Linked DNA regions of Tamandua tetradactyla. The protein of the gene in region 2 purifies or fractionates together with the protein of the main gene of each other region. This does not show direct contact. Links are inferred from orthologs where the notes say so. Each region holds a gene or a part of one and is shown on either strand. Other genes may lie near its edges. The genes, in order: BCL7C and SS18.

Region 1 (7,104 bases), on a different chromosome or scaffold from region 2:
TCGGTGCCACCCGCAGTTATGCCCCCAGGATCTGGAATGTCAAGTTAACAGGCATTCCTTGATCAACCACTCTGTGCCAGGAGCACAGACCAGTTGGGGAAAACAAACACAAACGGGCCAGTCACTTGAGCCGGAGGGCCATGGAGCACTGAGGAAGGAGCTGTGAACCTGCAGTCCAGGAAGCAGCACAGAGGAAGGAGCATTTGTGTGGGATGATAAGGGTGAGAAGGATTTGATCTGGCCAGTGGAAAGGTGGGACACGTTTTAGACAGAGGGAACACATGCTTAGCAAGCAGATTCTGGGGTTAAACTGCCTAGGTTCAATTCCTGACTCATGGGCAACTACTTCATTTCTCGGGGCCTCAGTTTGCCCATCCAGAAAATGGGGATGATAACACAGTTACTACATGAAGTTGTTGTGAAGATTCAATGAGAGAATACAGGTAGCGCCCTCAGTGCAACGAAGTAGGCAGAATCCACACACAGGCCCAGGCCCAGAGTTCTCAGAGGAAGACCATGAGGTCAGCAGGGGTAGTTCATATAGAGCCCTAAATGCCAAGCTGAGGCATCAAAGGCCACAGGGAGCCATTGAAGGCTTTGAAGCAGGGAAACCACTGCAACAAACCTGTGGGTTAGAAAACGTTGCCCTGATAGCTTTTTTTTTTTGTATGCTGTATGGCAGGGGTCACATTAAATTCTTTTTTCCACATGAGTAGCCCATTACTGCAGCACCATTTGATGAATTTTTGTGTTTTGTTTTGTTTGTTTGTTTGTTTTGTTTTGGGGAAGTGCATGGGCCAGGAATAGAACCCAGGTCTCCCATATGGCAGGCGAGAATTCTACAACTGAACTACCCTTGCACCTCTCCTGGCAGCCTTTTGAGGTGACTGGAAGAGAGGAGACCAGGGCAGAGGAGAGGAGATCAATGTGGAGGCAAGAGCCAGAGTGAGTAAGAGATGGAAGGCCAGGGCCAGGCAAGGACTGTGGAGGAGAGGAGAGCAGGGATGTCTGGGAGGTGGTACTGACCAGACAGGATTGACTGGATGAGTGAGGGGATGAGGAGGACCCATGCCCAAGACACTGGTGCCATGGCTGTATGAGGTTGGGCAACTTACTTCACTCATCTGGACCTAAGTTTCCTCATCTATGAGTGGGCATATCTACATCATGAATATGGGGTAAAGTGCTTAGAATGGTGTCTGGCACATAATAGGAGCTCAGTAAATGTTAACTATTATCTTCATCTTCATTATTAATTACTCATGATTATTGCTATTATTTAATCACTCAACAAATATTTATTGAGCAAATGCTGTGTGCCACGTGGTGGTCCATAGCTGTAGTAGTGAACAAGATCGTTATGGACCCAAGCTTCATGAAGCTGACAGGTGGAGTGGGGGAGAAGGGCATTAAAGTAATAAAAAATTAAATTTATGTGAAAAGTTCACGTGGTGATAAGAGACCTACAAATCCTAAGAAGCCAGAGGAATGAAATGGACAGTAGCTAGAGGTAGGTGCTGACTTTCCACAGGAGTCAGGGAAGGCCTTCCAGAGGCCACACAGGAGAGGGAGTAAGCATGGGTGAGTTCTGTTTTGAAGAGGACAGGACCCAGAGGAGGGATCCCTGAGAAGCACCTGGTCCTACCTCTCTCCTGGCCCAGCCGTGGGGGCTGAGTCTCTTCAGGAACCCCTTCCGGGGGTCCAGCAGGTGACGCTGGGCGGCTGGGCTGGGGAGTGCCACCAGGGCTTGGCTCTGTGCCCTTTTGCAGGGAGCCTTCTGAATGGAAACTCTGGTTGCTGTTCTCATCTGTGAGATCAAGAAGCCAGGAAGGTTGGGCCCGAGGCCCCCAGTCCCTTCACCCAATCCCCACAATTCCCCCTGACCCCCCAGTCCCAGAATCCCCACATACCATTGAGATCAAGCAGGATGAGAGGGCCACCCCCTCGGGGACTGGCACCCCTGCCCCGCCGCTCCCTGCCACGGGATCTCTCCGCCCCGCCACCTGCCCGGCGTCGCTCCTGGGGGTTAGAGGAGTAAGGGTCAGAGCCCCAAGAGGCTTTCTAATTTGCAAACCTCCCACTGAACAGTAAAGAAACTGAGGCACAGAGAAGCAAAAGGCTCTGCCTTAGGTGAAAGAGGTTGTGTCCACTGGGTTAGATCCTGAATGTGGATGTCTGGAGCAGGAAAAAAGGTATTGGGGGGGTGGGGGAAGGCTGGGGTCTGCCTAATAATCATTACCATCTGTCTGGGCTGCTACATTTGAGGTCTCAGAGCGAGAACTGGAGGTCGAGGCCAGGATGGGGAGGGCCTTGTCTGAGGTTGCACAGATGCAGGGGCTGGGGGCTTGCTCACCTCCTCCTGGGGGTCCACCACTGGCACCCACTTGAAGATACGAAGGGAAGTGTCACCCACAGTCACCCAGCGCTTCTCCCTGTTGGGGGGGTGGGAGTAACTGGGTCAGAGAGGCCTAGGGGTTGAGACCCCCAAGATCTGGGGGTACCTGCAGAGATTGGGGAGAGACAGCTTTGCTAATGGGGCATAGTTTGGGGGAGAAAAAGAGCCCTGTAGACCCCAGAACATAGATGGGGGTGCACAGAAAGGGTATGGCCTGTGACTATGGCCCTGCAGACCCTTGGGGCATATGTAGGGGTACAGCTGTGAGCTTAGCTGGGAATGGGGCAATAAAGATACTGGGGCATGTTGGGGGAAAGAGGTGTAACAGTTTTAGGGGGCGGGGCACAAACGAAGGCCCATTCAGCCGAGGCCGGCTGGTTACTATCAGGGGAAGAGCAACAGAGCCCTGTCGATCCGGGCACAGCCGGGGGACACGCCTACCACCTGGAGGCCACAGCTGGCGATGCGAGTGTAGACACATAATGGGGCGGAGGCCCCGCCATGTCCCGTTCCCGGCCCCGCTGCAGCGCTCACCATCTCCGGACCTTCTCAATGGTCGCCATCACCTTCTTGATGTCATCCTTGGCCCGGCTCCGGGTCTCGGCCCGCACGGTCCGGCCGGCCATGCTGGCAGGGCTGAGGCCCGGCCCGGGCCCGCGGCGGAGCCGCCTCCCGTCTGGCGGGCTCAGGCTCGGCGCCAGGCCGGGGAGCCGCTGTCTCCGCCTGCCGTCCCTCCGGGAGTTGGCCGCGCCCTCCCTCGCTCCCCAACGCCTCCGCGAGTCCCCGCCCCGCTTCCTGCCGCCGCGCCCCGCCCCGGCCCCGGAGCGGCCCGGTGGCGCGGGCGGCCACACTGGAGGCCTGGAAGCCCGGCCCGCCCCGCCCCGCCCCGGGCCCGCCCCCTCGGGACGCCCGGACGCGCAGCGCCCCCTGCCCGCTGCGGAGAGGGAGAGTTGGGGAGTCGGCGCCTGGAAGCGCGCGGCCGGGCTGAGGCGGTGCGTTCAGGCCACGTGGGTGCCGGGGTGCGCGCGAGTGTCCGTGGCCCGGTGTACGTCCGCTGCGCGTGGCGTCCCTGAACACGCTGTGTTGTGTGCATGTGTGCGGCCAGCCTGAAGGAATCTACCACGCTCGCTACCCAAGTTACTGAGTGCCAACTACGGCGCCACCCACCAGAATGACTAAAATGAGAATGACAGACCTTAGCAAGTGTAGGCGAGGAAGTAGAGCACCTGGAACTCTCTTATATTTCTGGAGTGGGGGGCGGGAGGGTGCACAGTGTCATTTGGTAGAGCCGCTTAGAAAACTGACAGTTTCTGGTGAAGCTGAACAGATGCCAACCCTATCTGTGATCCAGGGGTTCAACTCCCTAGGTTATCAGCTTCCAAAAGGAAATGCCTTGGTATGAGCACCCAGAGACGCGTACTGGAACGTTCATAGTACAGTTCATAATAATGCCAAACTGGAAACAGCCCAAACGTCCATCACCGGGAGAATGAGTGAAAAAAAAAAGTATCCTCTTCATACCATGTCATACAGCAACAACGTAATTGATGTCCTGTTGCACCCAACAATGGAAACAAGTCCCATGAAGGAAATCTTGAGTGAAAGAAACCAGACACAGTACAAGCTGTATGGTTCTGTTCAAAAATCCACAAAGGTATATTAATGGGGTGAGAAAACAGGATAATTGGGGGATGTTGTCTGGGAGGGCTTAAGTGGGAGGTTTCTGGAAGCTGGTCATGTTCTGTTTCTCCATCTGATGCTGGTTCCCTGGGCGTGTTTACTTTGCGAAAATCCATTGAACTGTATGGATATGTGCAGTTTTCTGCCTGTATATTATACTTCCATGAAAAGTTTACCTAAAAAAAAATGAGTGTGTCTGTTGGTGTTACTTGAAGTTATTTGTCAGGAAGTATGACCATGTCTAAATTTGTGTTTTGTGTGTGTGTGTGTGTGTTTCCAGGTCGTGGCTGTTGGATCTGAGTTCTGGTGTTGCTGTATCCAGAAGGATGAAGGAATAGTAAGGTTGTTAGGAAAGCATCTCTGGAGGCAGATTGCTGAGGTGAATTGCTGATCTGAGGTGAAATGCTGGATAAGCCATGCATCTTTCTATACCTTTATTTCTCATCTATAGAATGGGGTGATAATATTACCTACTTTATGAGGTTATGAGCAATAAATAAGTTAATGCACGTATAGCACATAGTAAACACTCAATAAACATGAGCTATGAATAAGTGGGTGCCTGAGGTTGCTACCAAGCATTGGCCTCAGTTGCACCTGTTGTACCCTCTGCCAGTTAATTCCTTTCTTCCTTCATCCTGGCCACTGTCTGATTATATTAACATCCTCACAGAAACACAGGCTTTGTTTACAATAACCCCATTGCCAGCTATTGTCATTGTCCTTGGTCACGGCACAGAGAACTGGTATGGATCATCTCTGAGTCCCAGGGCCCTGGACAGAGTAGGTCTTTGGTAATCATCATGAAGATAGGTCAGTGTGTGCAGACCTTTCAGGGTTTGTTTGCACCAGCTTGGTGAATTTGTACTTGCCTCTAAGGTTTGTTCCTGTGGAAGAATGAGTGGCTGTATGCATTAACCCTTAAGTAGATGCATGTGTATGTGTCGGTGGAGTTCTGTCTCTGGGCCTAGTGAGGAGAGATGAGATGGGGTATCATCTCCCTCCAGGTAGGTGTGACAACCAGAATGTGTTTGAGGGAGGGGGAGTCTGGTTATCAGCATGACAATAAGGTTTTGCAGACCAGGTGGAACACATTTAAGATAGGGCAAAAGTAGTATGTCTGGGCATGTGTGCCCCAAGCCCTAGGGTTCCCACCGCATGGCCTCCTTCGCTCCACCCAGTGTCCTCACACTGCCACCCAACCTCAACTTTGCCCTAAGAGAGAAGGCCTGCACATTCTTGTCCTGCCAGCCCAGCACCCTCCCTCTCCTTTCCCCCAAGCTTTCCCCAGAAAGCAACCCCAGCCCCAGGCCCTGTCCCAGGTCGCGCTCTAGCCTTCTCCCTCCAGAGGGGCGCAGGTCCCAGTCTGTGTCCTCTCAGGTCTCGGTCTGGGTCCGGAACCCACCGTGCCAACAAGCAGGCATCCCTCTTGGGGCCCCTTCTCGGAAAGTCTAAGATCTGAGCTCAGGGCCAAAGAATCCTGCCTGGAAGGGGGTGGGGGGGAAGGTTTGGGGTCTGGGCCCTGATTGGCTGCGCCCGAACCACGCCCCTACCCCTTAACCCCTTCTCCCCCCACCTCACCTCGGAAGGGGGGCGTGGAGGGAACCGGGATCATCCTGGGGCCAACATGAGCCGGAGGGAGGGAAGTCTGGGTAAGGGGCTGAGTGGCCTGACGCCGGGTTCCCGAGGGGAGCAGGGGCCAGAAGGGTTGGAGCCGGGGTCAGGGTCCCCGCCTCCCCCGAGGCTGGGAGGGCAGCGACCTGGGAGGAGGAGCGCGGGGCTCCGGTGTCTGGTAACCAGCGGGTGAGCTGCCGGAAGGGAACGGGCACCAGAGTTCATAGGAACCTGGGGCTGCGGTTTCGGGAACTTGGGCTCAGAGGCCAGACCACCGGTTCAAGTCCTCTGTGGGGAAGTCTGGCGTCCAGACTAGGGACTGGCGCCTGGGTTCTTTCCTCTGGGTCTTCGGAAAGAATCAGAGCTGGGAGGCCGAAGGGAGTGATAGAGTTGGGAGGGAAAGGCTTTGGGCCACAAGAGATAGTGAGTGACGAGGCAGCTCAGTATCCGTACAGGCGGTGGGAAACTCAGGCGGGGGCGGGGGGGAGGTGCCGGGCTAGGACTACATCCCCCAGCATGCATCTGGGCGCGCTAGGCATCTCGGGAAAAATAGTCCTCTCTCCCGTTGGGTGCCACCCTCTGGCGTGTGTCGCGCAGAGCCAGCCGCCGATTCCTTGATGCCGCCCAGTACCCATAAGAAGGGGGTATAGGGGGATCAAGGAGAGAATGGGACTTAGCTTTCCCGATCTGTAAAATGAAGGGCTTGTTTCTTAAAAGCCCGTACTGATTTGAAGTTCTGTGCTTCAATGGACGTAAAATTCCAACAGTCACTAACTAAGGTCACTTTCCCTCAGTTGGTATAGGACAGACCCTGCCCAGCCTGAGAGCTCTGAGGACAGGGGTTCGGGTTGCCCTCATTCCTCCCTGCCTTTCCCTCCAGAAGAGCCCCGGGCTGACTCCTCAGTCTCACCCCTTCCTCACCTGGAGGCCAAGATCCGACAAACACACAGCCTTGCCTGCCTCCTCAACAAATATGCCGAACAGTTGCTCCAGGAGTATGTGAGTGGGGGTGGGCATGGGGAGGGGGTATGCTGGGGGTATCATTGGAAAGCGCAAGAGCCCAGGGGTCCTTGACCACCCACATTCTCAGCCTTGCTTCTCAACTGTGGAATCAGGGTCCCAAGAAGAATAGTAATTTGTCTCTGGCCACCCAGCAAATTGGAGGCGGCCCCTATCTGTGCCCCACATGCCCCGCCATCCTCCTCAGCTTGGAGGCTCCCTTGGTTCTGTAAATCAGAGGCAGAAGTCTGGATCACAGGTTCTAGACTCTGGGTGATCTCATTGACTCAAGTCCATAGGCCTTGGTCTCTCCAGTTGTAAAAGGAGGCGACTGAATAAGATGATCTGCGAACTCTTTGCAGGAATATTCAGAGTCTAAGAAGGGGTTTCAATCTGGGGCAAAAATTCCATCTCAA
Region 2 (8,163 bases):
AGCAGCTAGAAGGAAAAATCTGAGAGGATCATATGTAGCCCATGACAAACTCTGGGATCTGTTCTGTAACTGCTTGTTGAAGAGTGCTTTGAAATCTATTGCTTTTTTATTTTTTTGTATATATGTTATACTATATAATAAAAAGTGAAAAAAAATAGAAAAAAAGAAAAAATAATTAAGGCTACTGGAATGCAATTTAGCAGCTTCAGGTACTTCCCTTTAGCCACCCCCATACACCGTAAACTAAAAAAAAGAATATCTATATAATGAGTAAGAATAACTTCCAAGAAAACCTCTTAATTCTGTTTGAAATCTCTCAGCCAGTGAGACTTTATCCTGTCTCATTTTTCTCTTCTCCTGTTTGGTCAAGAAGGCTTTCTCATTCCCATGATGCCCAGTCCTGGCTCATCCTCAGGAGTCAGGTCTCATGTTGCCAGGAAGTTTATACCCCTGGGAGTCATGTCCCACGTGGTGGGGAGGACATTGAGTTCACTTGCCAAGTTGGTTAGAGAGAGAGGCTACATCTGAACAACGAAAGAGGCTCTTTGAGGGTGACCCTTAGGCATAATTATCAGTAAGCTTAGATGCTTTGCGAGAATGAGCTTCATAGGGGTGAGTCCCAAGATTGAGGACTCAGCCTATTGAATTGGTTGTCCCCACTGCTTGTGAGAATATCAGGAATTCCCCAGTTGGGGAGGTTGAATATTTTCTTCTTTCTCCCCAGTCCCAGAGGGGACTTTGCAAATACTTTTTTTATTCTCTGCCTAAATTACTCTCGGATATATTGGGGCATCACACTAACCTGTATAAACCAACAAGGTCTCATGCTGTTGAAGACTTCATGTAATTATGGTGTTCAAATCAAATGACCATGCAATTTAAATTAGATAACATGCTACCCAAAATATAAATTTTGCACCAAATAAACATCTCACCCTTTGTTCTCACACAGAGGTTGAAGTTTGAAAATATGGGCCATATCATCCTTTACCCAGTATTCTAAGTTACTTTAGTCCTATCCAGATCAGTTTCATTCATACCTCTAGATGAAGTCTGATCACTCTTTTCAGGTTTTAAACATTTGCTGAATGGTGTAATGCTGACTTTCATAGCTTCAGTGCTCTAACTCTGTGTCTGAAGTGTCACATAAGTACCTGAAGTTTCAGGGAATGACCTGGTTAAATACAAATAGCTCACTATCTCAAAATTTAGAAATACCAGTTACAACTCCTAAATATAGGTGACTGCTGCAAGAGCTTACAATCTTTACAACCTTTACAATAGGCCCTGTTTTAGTTTGCAAGAGCTCCCAGAATGCGGTATACCAGAAATGGAATGACTTTTACAGAGGGGAATTTATTAAGTTGCAAGCTTACAGTTCTAAGGCCATGAAAATGTCCAAATTAAGACAAGTCTATAAAAATGTCCAAACTATGGCACTCAGAGAGAGACACCTTGGTTCAAGAAGGTGGATGATGTTCAGGGTTTCTCTCTCAGCTAGAAGGGCACATGGAGATGTCTGGTAGTTTTCTCTCCAGACTTCTTCAGCCACTTCCTCAGGGATGCTTTCTTTATGCATCTCCAGAGGTTTCTGGCTGTGTGGACTCTATTGGTTCTTAAGTTTTTTCCAAAATGCTTCCCTCTTAAAGGCTTCCAGTAAGCACCCCACCTTGAATGCAGGGAGGTGCATCTGCATGGACACCATCTAATTAAAAGTTACCACTCATAATTGGTGGATTTTATCTCCATGGAAATCATCTAATCAAAAGCTACCACTCATAATTGGTGGATCACATCTCCATGGAAACAATAAAAAAGATCCCACCAGCAATACTGAATGGGGAATAAAGAACTTGGCTTTTCTAGGGTACACAACAGATTGAAAGCAGCACAGGCCCCAACCTGATAACCTAGGCTCTCGACTTTAATTCTTTGAGTTTATAAATTATATTTAATCCATATGTGTGAGGCATGATAATATTTGTCTTTTTCTTTCTGACATTTTATTCAACATACTGTCCTTAAGATTCATTCACCTAGTTGCATGCCTCACAACTTCATTTTCTTGCAGCTGCTTAGTAGTCCATAATATGTAAATACCACAGTCCCCCCTTCCATTTTTTCAGTTGTTGTACGCTTAGGCGACCTCCATCCATTGCAAATTGAACACTGCTGCCATAAACACTAGTGTGCTAGTGTCCCCACACTCAGTTCCTCTAGGTATATACCTAGCAACATGATTGCAAGATCATATAGTAACCCCACCCCTAGCCTCCTGTGGAACTACCTCACTGCCCTCTGGAGGGGATGCCCCTCTCAGCTTACCTATCAACAGTGAATGGGTACATCTCTTTCTCCAGATTTTCTCCAGCACTTATTTTTCTCTGTTCGTTTTTAAACAATTTTATTCGCACATCATACACTCCAACCTAAGCAAACAGACATACCTTCACCATCATAATCTATATGAAGACATTTCCTTTACTTCTGCATAGAAGGGGGCAATCATTTTAACATTCGTCTTCGCAAATTCTCTTGCCACCTTTTAGCTCTGCCAAACTCTGTGGTGCATACTGGGGTAAAGACCCCATGATTCTTCCAGACAGTTGTGAAAACTGATGTGGCCAACGGGTATTGGTCTTGAAATTGGGGGCCTTGTCCCTAAGAAGCAGATCTCTGGGCATGTCAACAGTGGTGATGCTGTAGGGTGAGGGTGAGGGGACGCTACTGTCAAAGCCACTAGCTGGCTGGCTCTGGTAGGGAGCTGAAAAATTGTTCATAATTACTAAGGTACTTTTGTCTTAATTTTAAAACACAGATATGAATGCCAGCTTTGGGATACCAGTGGTGGACAAGTGTTGGCTTTTGCTGCAAATTTAGTAAAAGGTTTTTACAATTTGATTTGTGTCTTAGTTTGCCACTGCTGCTATGACAAATACTGCACAATGGGCTGGCTTCAACAAGAAGCATTTATTGTCTCATCGTTTCAAAGACTAGCAGTCCAAAATTAAGATGTTGGCAAGGCCACGCTTTCTTCTTGCCAGTAGCTTTCTAATGATGGCAGTCCTCTGTCACGTGGCAATTTCTCTCCTCTCTGTCTTCTTCTGACTTCTCACCGATTGAGTCTGAATTTCCCTTCTTGATAAAGCCTCCAATCATACAGATTAACCACCCTGATTTAATTTGGCTGTACCTTAACTAACTATATCTCAAAACATTCTACTTGCAAATGGATTCATACCCACAGAAAAGCAGATTAAGATTTGAAGAGGTTTTTTGTAGAGAACATGATTCAATCTACAACAATGTGATTATATTGAATCCAAATATCAGAGTACTTTCTTCAAGGCTCAGGGCAATGAAAGACAATAACTAAATTAATAAAAATGATTACTATTAATAGGAGAATAAACTTGCTTCGTTTTATTCTTAGGATGACTTGAGTCTTTTAATCTTTTAGGTCTCATTTTAAGTATAATCCAGAGGACTTCCTTGCCTATCTCGTGTGTAATCTTTTAGGTCTCATTTTAAGTATAATCCAGAGGATTTCCTTGCCTATCTCGTGTGTGTTCCTCTTTCTCTCTCAGTCCCTCCTTACCTAGTCTTCCTTAAAATTTTACATGTATTTACTTGTTTCTGATCTGTCAACTCTATTAGAATATAAGCTCCTCAAGGGCGGAATTTATGTCCGGTTTATTCAGTTGTATTTTAGGAACCTAGCATAGGGCCTAGCACATAGGAACCCAAATATGTTAAATGAATGAAACTCATGACTTTTTAGTGAAAAGCATTTACTTGACACATTAATTAAAAAAATATTCATTCTATATTTTCTAGTATATTTTGTAAATAAACTGAGGGACTGATCTGATTTTTGAGCTTCATTAAATGTAGGATAACATTTTATATACAATTTCCTTTGCGTTACATGGAAGCGTAAATTACCGAGTAACTTGAAAGAAACAGGAAAACATTATCCACATTTGCTCGTGTTCCTTTTTTAAGTTGAAAACTTTTTTTTCCCCTCGTACTGATTTGAAGTCTGGCAGCTTGCACCTACTAGCCACTAAATATGTCATATCGCCGGAAAAGGAAACAGTGAGGGTGCCCAATTTCGAATTTTAATTCCAAAGATCCAAATCAGACGAAAGTGACCAACATTTCTTGTAAGGGTCTATTACAGAGGCACGCTCTCTAGGCCACCGTAGGCAAGTTGGCCGATTGCCTTTGAGTACTGGAACAGCCTTCCACTTTTTTGGGTCACGTTTACTTTCCAATTGCTAGGCACGACTTTACTTGCAAGGGAGACTGTGGACTCGGAGGTGCGCATTTGAGGCGTAGCCGAGCCGTTTAAACCAGCGAATCCGCTTTCACCCTAGTCCTTCCACCTCCGTCTCCTCTCGGCACACCCTCCACGGTTTGCACGAGCTCTCAGGTCTTGACCCTCCTCTCCCAGCGGCCCCCTCCCGCCCGGCACGAAGCAAGGGCGGGGCAACTAGGGGCGACCACTTCTTCTGAGGGGTGAACACGGAGTTGGAAAAACGGAACTAGGTCTAGCGCAGAGTCCCAGAACGCAGCTCGAAGGACGCCAGGCTTGTCGGAGAGGGAGGTAAGTTGCTCCGGCGCGAAGGGGGCGGGCCGATTCGGCCCGCGCGCATTTCCTGTGACAGGGGCTGCCCGGGCCTCTCCCTCTCCCGCGGCGGCGGGACCATTTCCTGAATCGCTGAAGTGGAGGGAGGACCGAGGCGCGGCCATACCATTAGCTTAGAGGGGCGGGGGGCGCGTATAAAGAAAGATTGAGGAACCGGGGTCGATCACGAATAACGAAGTTATACCAGGTCTCTGGATACCAATTCGTTTTTCAGTAACAAGAGTCCCATGGACCAGAGTGTATCTGTCGAGTCAAGCCGGCTGGCAAATAGTCCGGCTGTGGAGCATCCCCCCTCCCCTCCTTCATGAGGTGGTTTGGCCCCAGAGGCCGCGTCTGCCCCCCTTCCCACCCCAGTTTGCCGTTCATCCGTGGCGCTCTGGACTTGTTGGTAGTGGGGACGGCGGCAACATGTCTGTGGCGTTCGCAGCCCCGAGGCAGCGAGGCAAGGGAGAGATTACACCAGCTGCTATTCAGAAGGTGAAAGCTCGCGAGGGCGGGGCTTCCTGACCACCCTGCCGTAGGGACAACTTCGGGGACTGGGCCAGAGGCGGCGGGCCTGCCGAGAGGCAGTAGTCTGGGCACCGGAGCCTCCGGCCGAGCCCTAATGGGCGGCGACGAGGTCGGACCGGTAACCTCACGGAGTCCCGCGTGCGTTGGGGCTCTTTCCTACAGGCTCAAAAGCCGAATTACTTGTTGGTCGATTTCTCTAGGGATGAGGCGACGTTTGGGTGGCGGGCGCGTGCGCCCGGCTGCTGGACTCGAGCGCGGACCGGCTGTTTCTCGAGTCGGCGCCCCCTGCACCCCGGCGCGTCGCTCGCGAGTTACTTTGGCGTCTCCCCGCCCCGCGCGCCCCAGCCGCCCAGTGCAGACTCGACCTCTAGTCGCGGAGGGAAGGCTGAGGGCTGGTCGCTGCCCTCTGAGTTTGGCGGAGTTGGGGAGCTCTTAGGAGAAGTTGGGGGACGCTGTGGAGAACCTTAGTAGAGTGAGAGACGGCGAGGGAGGACCCACGGACTTCGGGGCTCTCCTCGGAATTCCCTTCTCCTTTCCTCGTCCGCCCCTTATTTACATCTGCAGGGAATACTGAGCGCCTGTTGTAAGGCGCTGAGGCTACAGTGGTGAGCCATGGTCCCTGCATTCCTGGAACTTAGTCTAGTGGTAGAGACGGTCAGGTAATAGGTACCGATTATAAATTGTGATAAATACAGAGTGCTGCGTCCGTGTTGGAGGGTTGCATTGTTAACTGCTGTATTGCTCCCTGTTGGGGATACAAAGGTTCTTCATTTTCCACTACTCCTTGTTGCGTACCAGCAAGGCAAATTTTAGTCCGGCTTTTAACGTTTAATAGTGCACCTTAGATATTTCAGTTTTGTTTTGTGCACTTGCAGCAAGGGTGAAAACAGGAGAAAAGTTAACTTTTAGTACCGCTCCAGGCATTGTATGCCCAATAGATGATGTTCATCGGCTTTTGTTTACTGTCAGGTTCTCTGTAGTGTGACGTTTGACATTTGCCCAACTGTTGCTTTATTTTATGAACGAATAGGCAGTGCCTAGAAATCAGTGCTTTCATATATTGTAGTGCACTGTTTGCAATGTCTGCACCCTAACAAACAATGCATTTTAAGGACAATTTTCTTCTTTTTTATGAGTATTCCATGATTCTTTTTAGAAATAACTGTACCTATTAGAAGGGCATTTAATATTTTATTTCCAGCAAGTGAATATGAGAAGAATATGAAAATGTGCAGAAAAATGTTAAAAAGTTCAGTGGCGGGGCGGGCCGCGGTGGCTCAGCGGGCAAAGTGCTTGCCTGCTATGCCGGAGGACCTCGGTTCGATTCCCGGCCCCAGCCCATGTAACAAAAACGGAGAAACAGAATACAATAAAACAAGAAAATGTTTAAAAATGTTTCCCTTTCTTCCTTCCTTCCTTCCTTCTATCCTTCCTTCCTTCTCTCTGTCTTTCCTTTAAAAAAAAAAAAAAAAAAAAAAAAAAAAAAAGTTCAGTGGCTTTTCCTTATTAGTTAAAAGTTACGTTGCTGTGTGGCAATTTGTTAAGTCTGTTAGATTGTAGTTCTGGATTTTTGGTTGAAGGTTTTGGCTACTGTAAAAATATTAGTTTGTATTTTGAATTGTAAAGTCAAAAGAATGATAATTTTTTTTCATTTAATTGAAGTGATTTTCACGTTCTGCAGATGGGGTAATTATAAAATTAAAGTATTAAGCATTTATTGATAAATAATGTATATGTTCCTATGCCAAGGAATATCGTGAAGGAAATTGAAATAAATTCTTTAAAGATAAAAAAAGTTACATTGCTAACTAAATTATTCACTACTTTCATTGAATCTTGGAATTCAATGGTAGGGCAAATTCACCCTTGATTTCATGGGTAAGCTCGCCCAAAAACTAACTGGCATTCTAGTTGCTATCCAGTTAGTACTCTTTCCTCAATGCCATTTTTTTGAAATGTATTATTTATCCCTTAAAACCATTCAATCACAGAATTGTTATAAATGAAAGAAGGACAAATCAATATACTTTTTTAAAAAAAATATTGGGACAATTTAATAATAAGGTTAGCACGTAAAAGTTTGCAACAAATATTATACATGCATAGAAATTATTGTATTTGATTATTTTTACCATATTTGGGGAAGTCACGAAACCTTACTGTATGAAACTTGGAAGCTGCATTATTAAGCTTCCTGGGCTAATGTTTCATTCTGGATGAGGATAGAATTTCCTTATTATTGCAAAGCCTTAGAATGATGCAAAGACAATTTTGCTCTTAACTAGCTAAATCTTCTACAATGGATAGGAGAGATAATTGAATGTTTGAAAACAAAAGAAACTCCGTATTTCCCCTTTTAAACTTCTAGTAATAATTCAGAGAGAGAATAATTGTAATAGAAGTCTTCAAAAAAAAGAAAAGCCCATTAATTAAAATATGGTTCCAAAGGTAAAAAATGTGTAAAATAAGATTTTCTGTGGTTAGTATATGCAGCAAGAAGACCCAAGTGGATTCAAGACCTGTACAGATCAAACAATTCTAGAAATCTGAAGGAAAAAAAATCAGTTATTGCCCATATAATTTGTGTATTGTCTTTTTCAGTAGATTTAAACAGTTTAGTACAAGATGAATTTTTATGTGAGAAAGAGCTGAATTCACCAATTTCTCTTTAAAATTGTGTTTAACTTACTAAAGTGAATTTTAAAATATGAGTTGTAGCAGGTAGCTACTCAACAAAAAATGTAATTTTAAGAGACTTTTAAAATTGTTACCATGCTTGCTTAGTGATTTTATAATGTGTGATGATTGCTTTGGGCTAACAGTATTTTAGTAGGGGATTCGCATTAAAATTCTTCAAAAAACAGTGTTTATTAACCATACCCTCCCCCCCCGAATCACTTTTCTAGTTTTTTATTTTACTTAATGCACTAGATTTACAATAAATTTTTCTAATTTTGTTTCAGATGTTGGATGAAAATAACCATCTTATTCAATGTATAATG

The links.
Region 1: the proteins of SS18 (region 2) and BCL7C purify together in Homo sapiens (affinity purification with mass spectrometry; 3 studies listed by BioGRID and IntAct, counting the BioPlex papers as one, with this or other methods). This does not show direct contact. The link is inferred for Tamandua tetradactyla from reciprocal best matches to the Homo sapiens genes SS18 and BCL7C.

The regions. Positions count from the first base shown.
Region 1 is NC_135349.1:23,599,962-23,607,065, reverse strand, and holds the start of BCL7C (B-cell CLL/lymphoma 7 protein family member C), read right to left. Parts: upstream 3,085-7,104; 5' UTR 3,022-3,084; coding exon 2,930-3,021; intron 2,433-2,929; coding exon 2,354-2,432; intron 2,020-2,353; coding exon 1,911-2,019; intron 1,808-1,910; coding exon 1,646-1,807; intron 32-1,645; coding exon 1-31. Other genes in the region: CTF1 (cardiotrophin-1), read left to right, coding at 5,703-5,727, 6,570-6,688. UniProt on the Homo sapiens protein: May play an anti-apoptotic role.
Region 2 is NC_135344.1:57,044,349-57,052,511, forward strand, and holds the start of SS18 (protein SSXT), read left to right. Parts: upstream 1-4,979; 5' UTR 4,980-5,059; coding exon 5,060-5,128; intron 5,129-8,124; coding exon 8,125-8,163. UniProt on the Homo sapiens protein: Appears to function synergistically with RBM14 as a transcriptional coactivator. Isoform 1 and isoform 2 function in nuclear receptor coactivation. Isoform 1 and isoform 2 function in general transcriptional coactivation.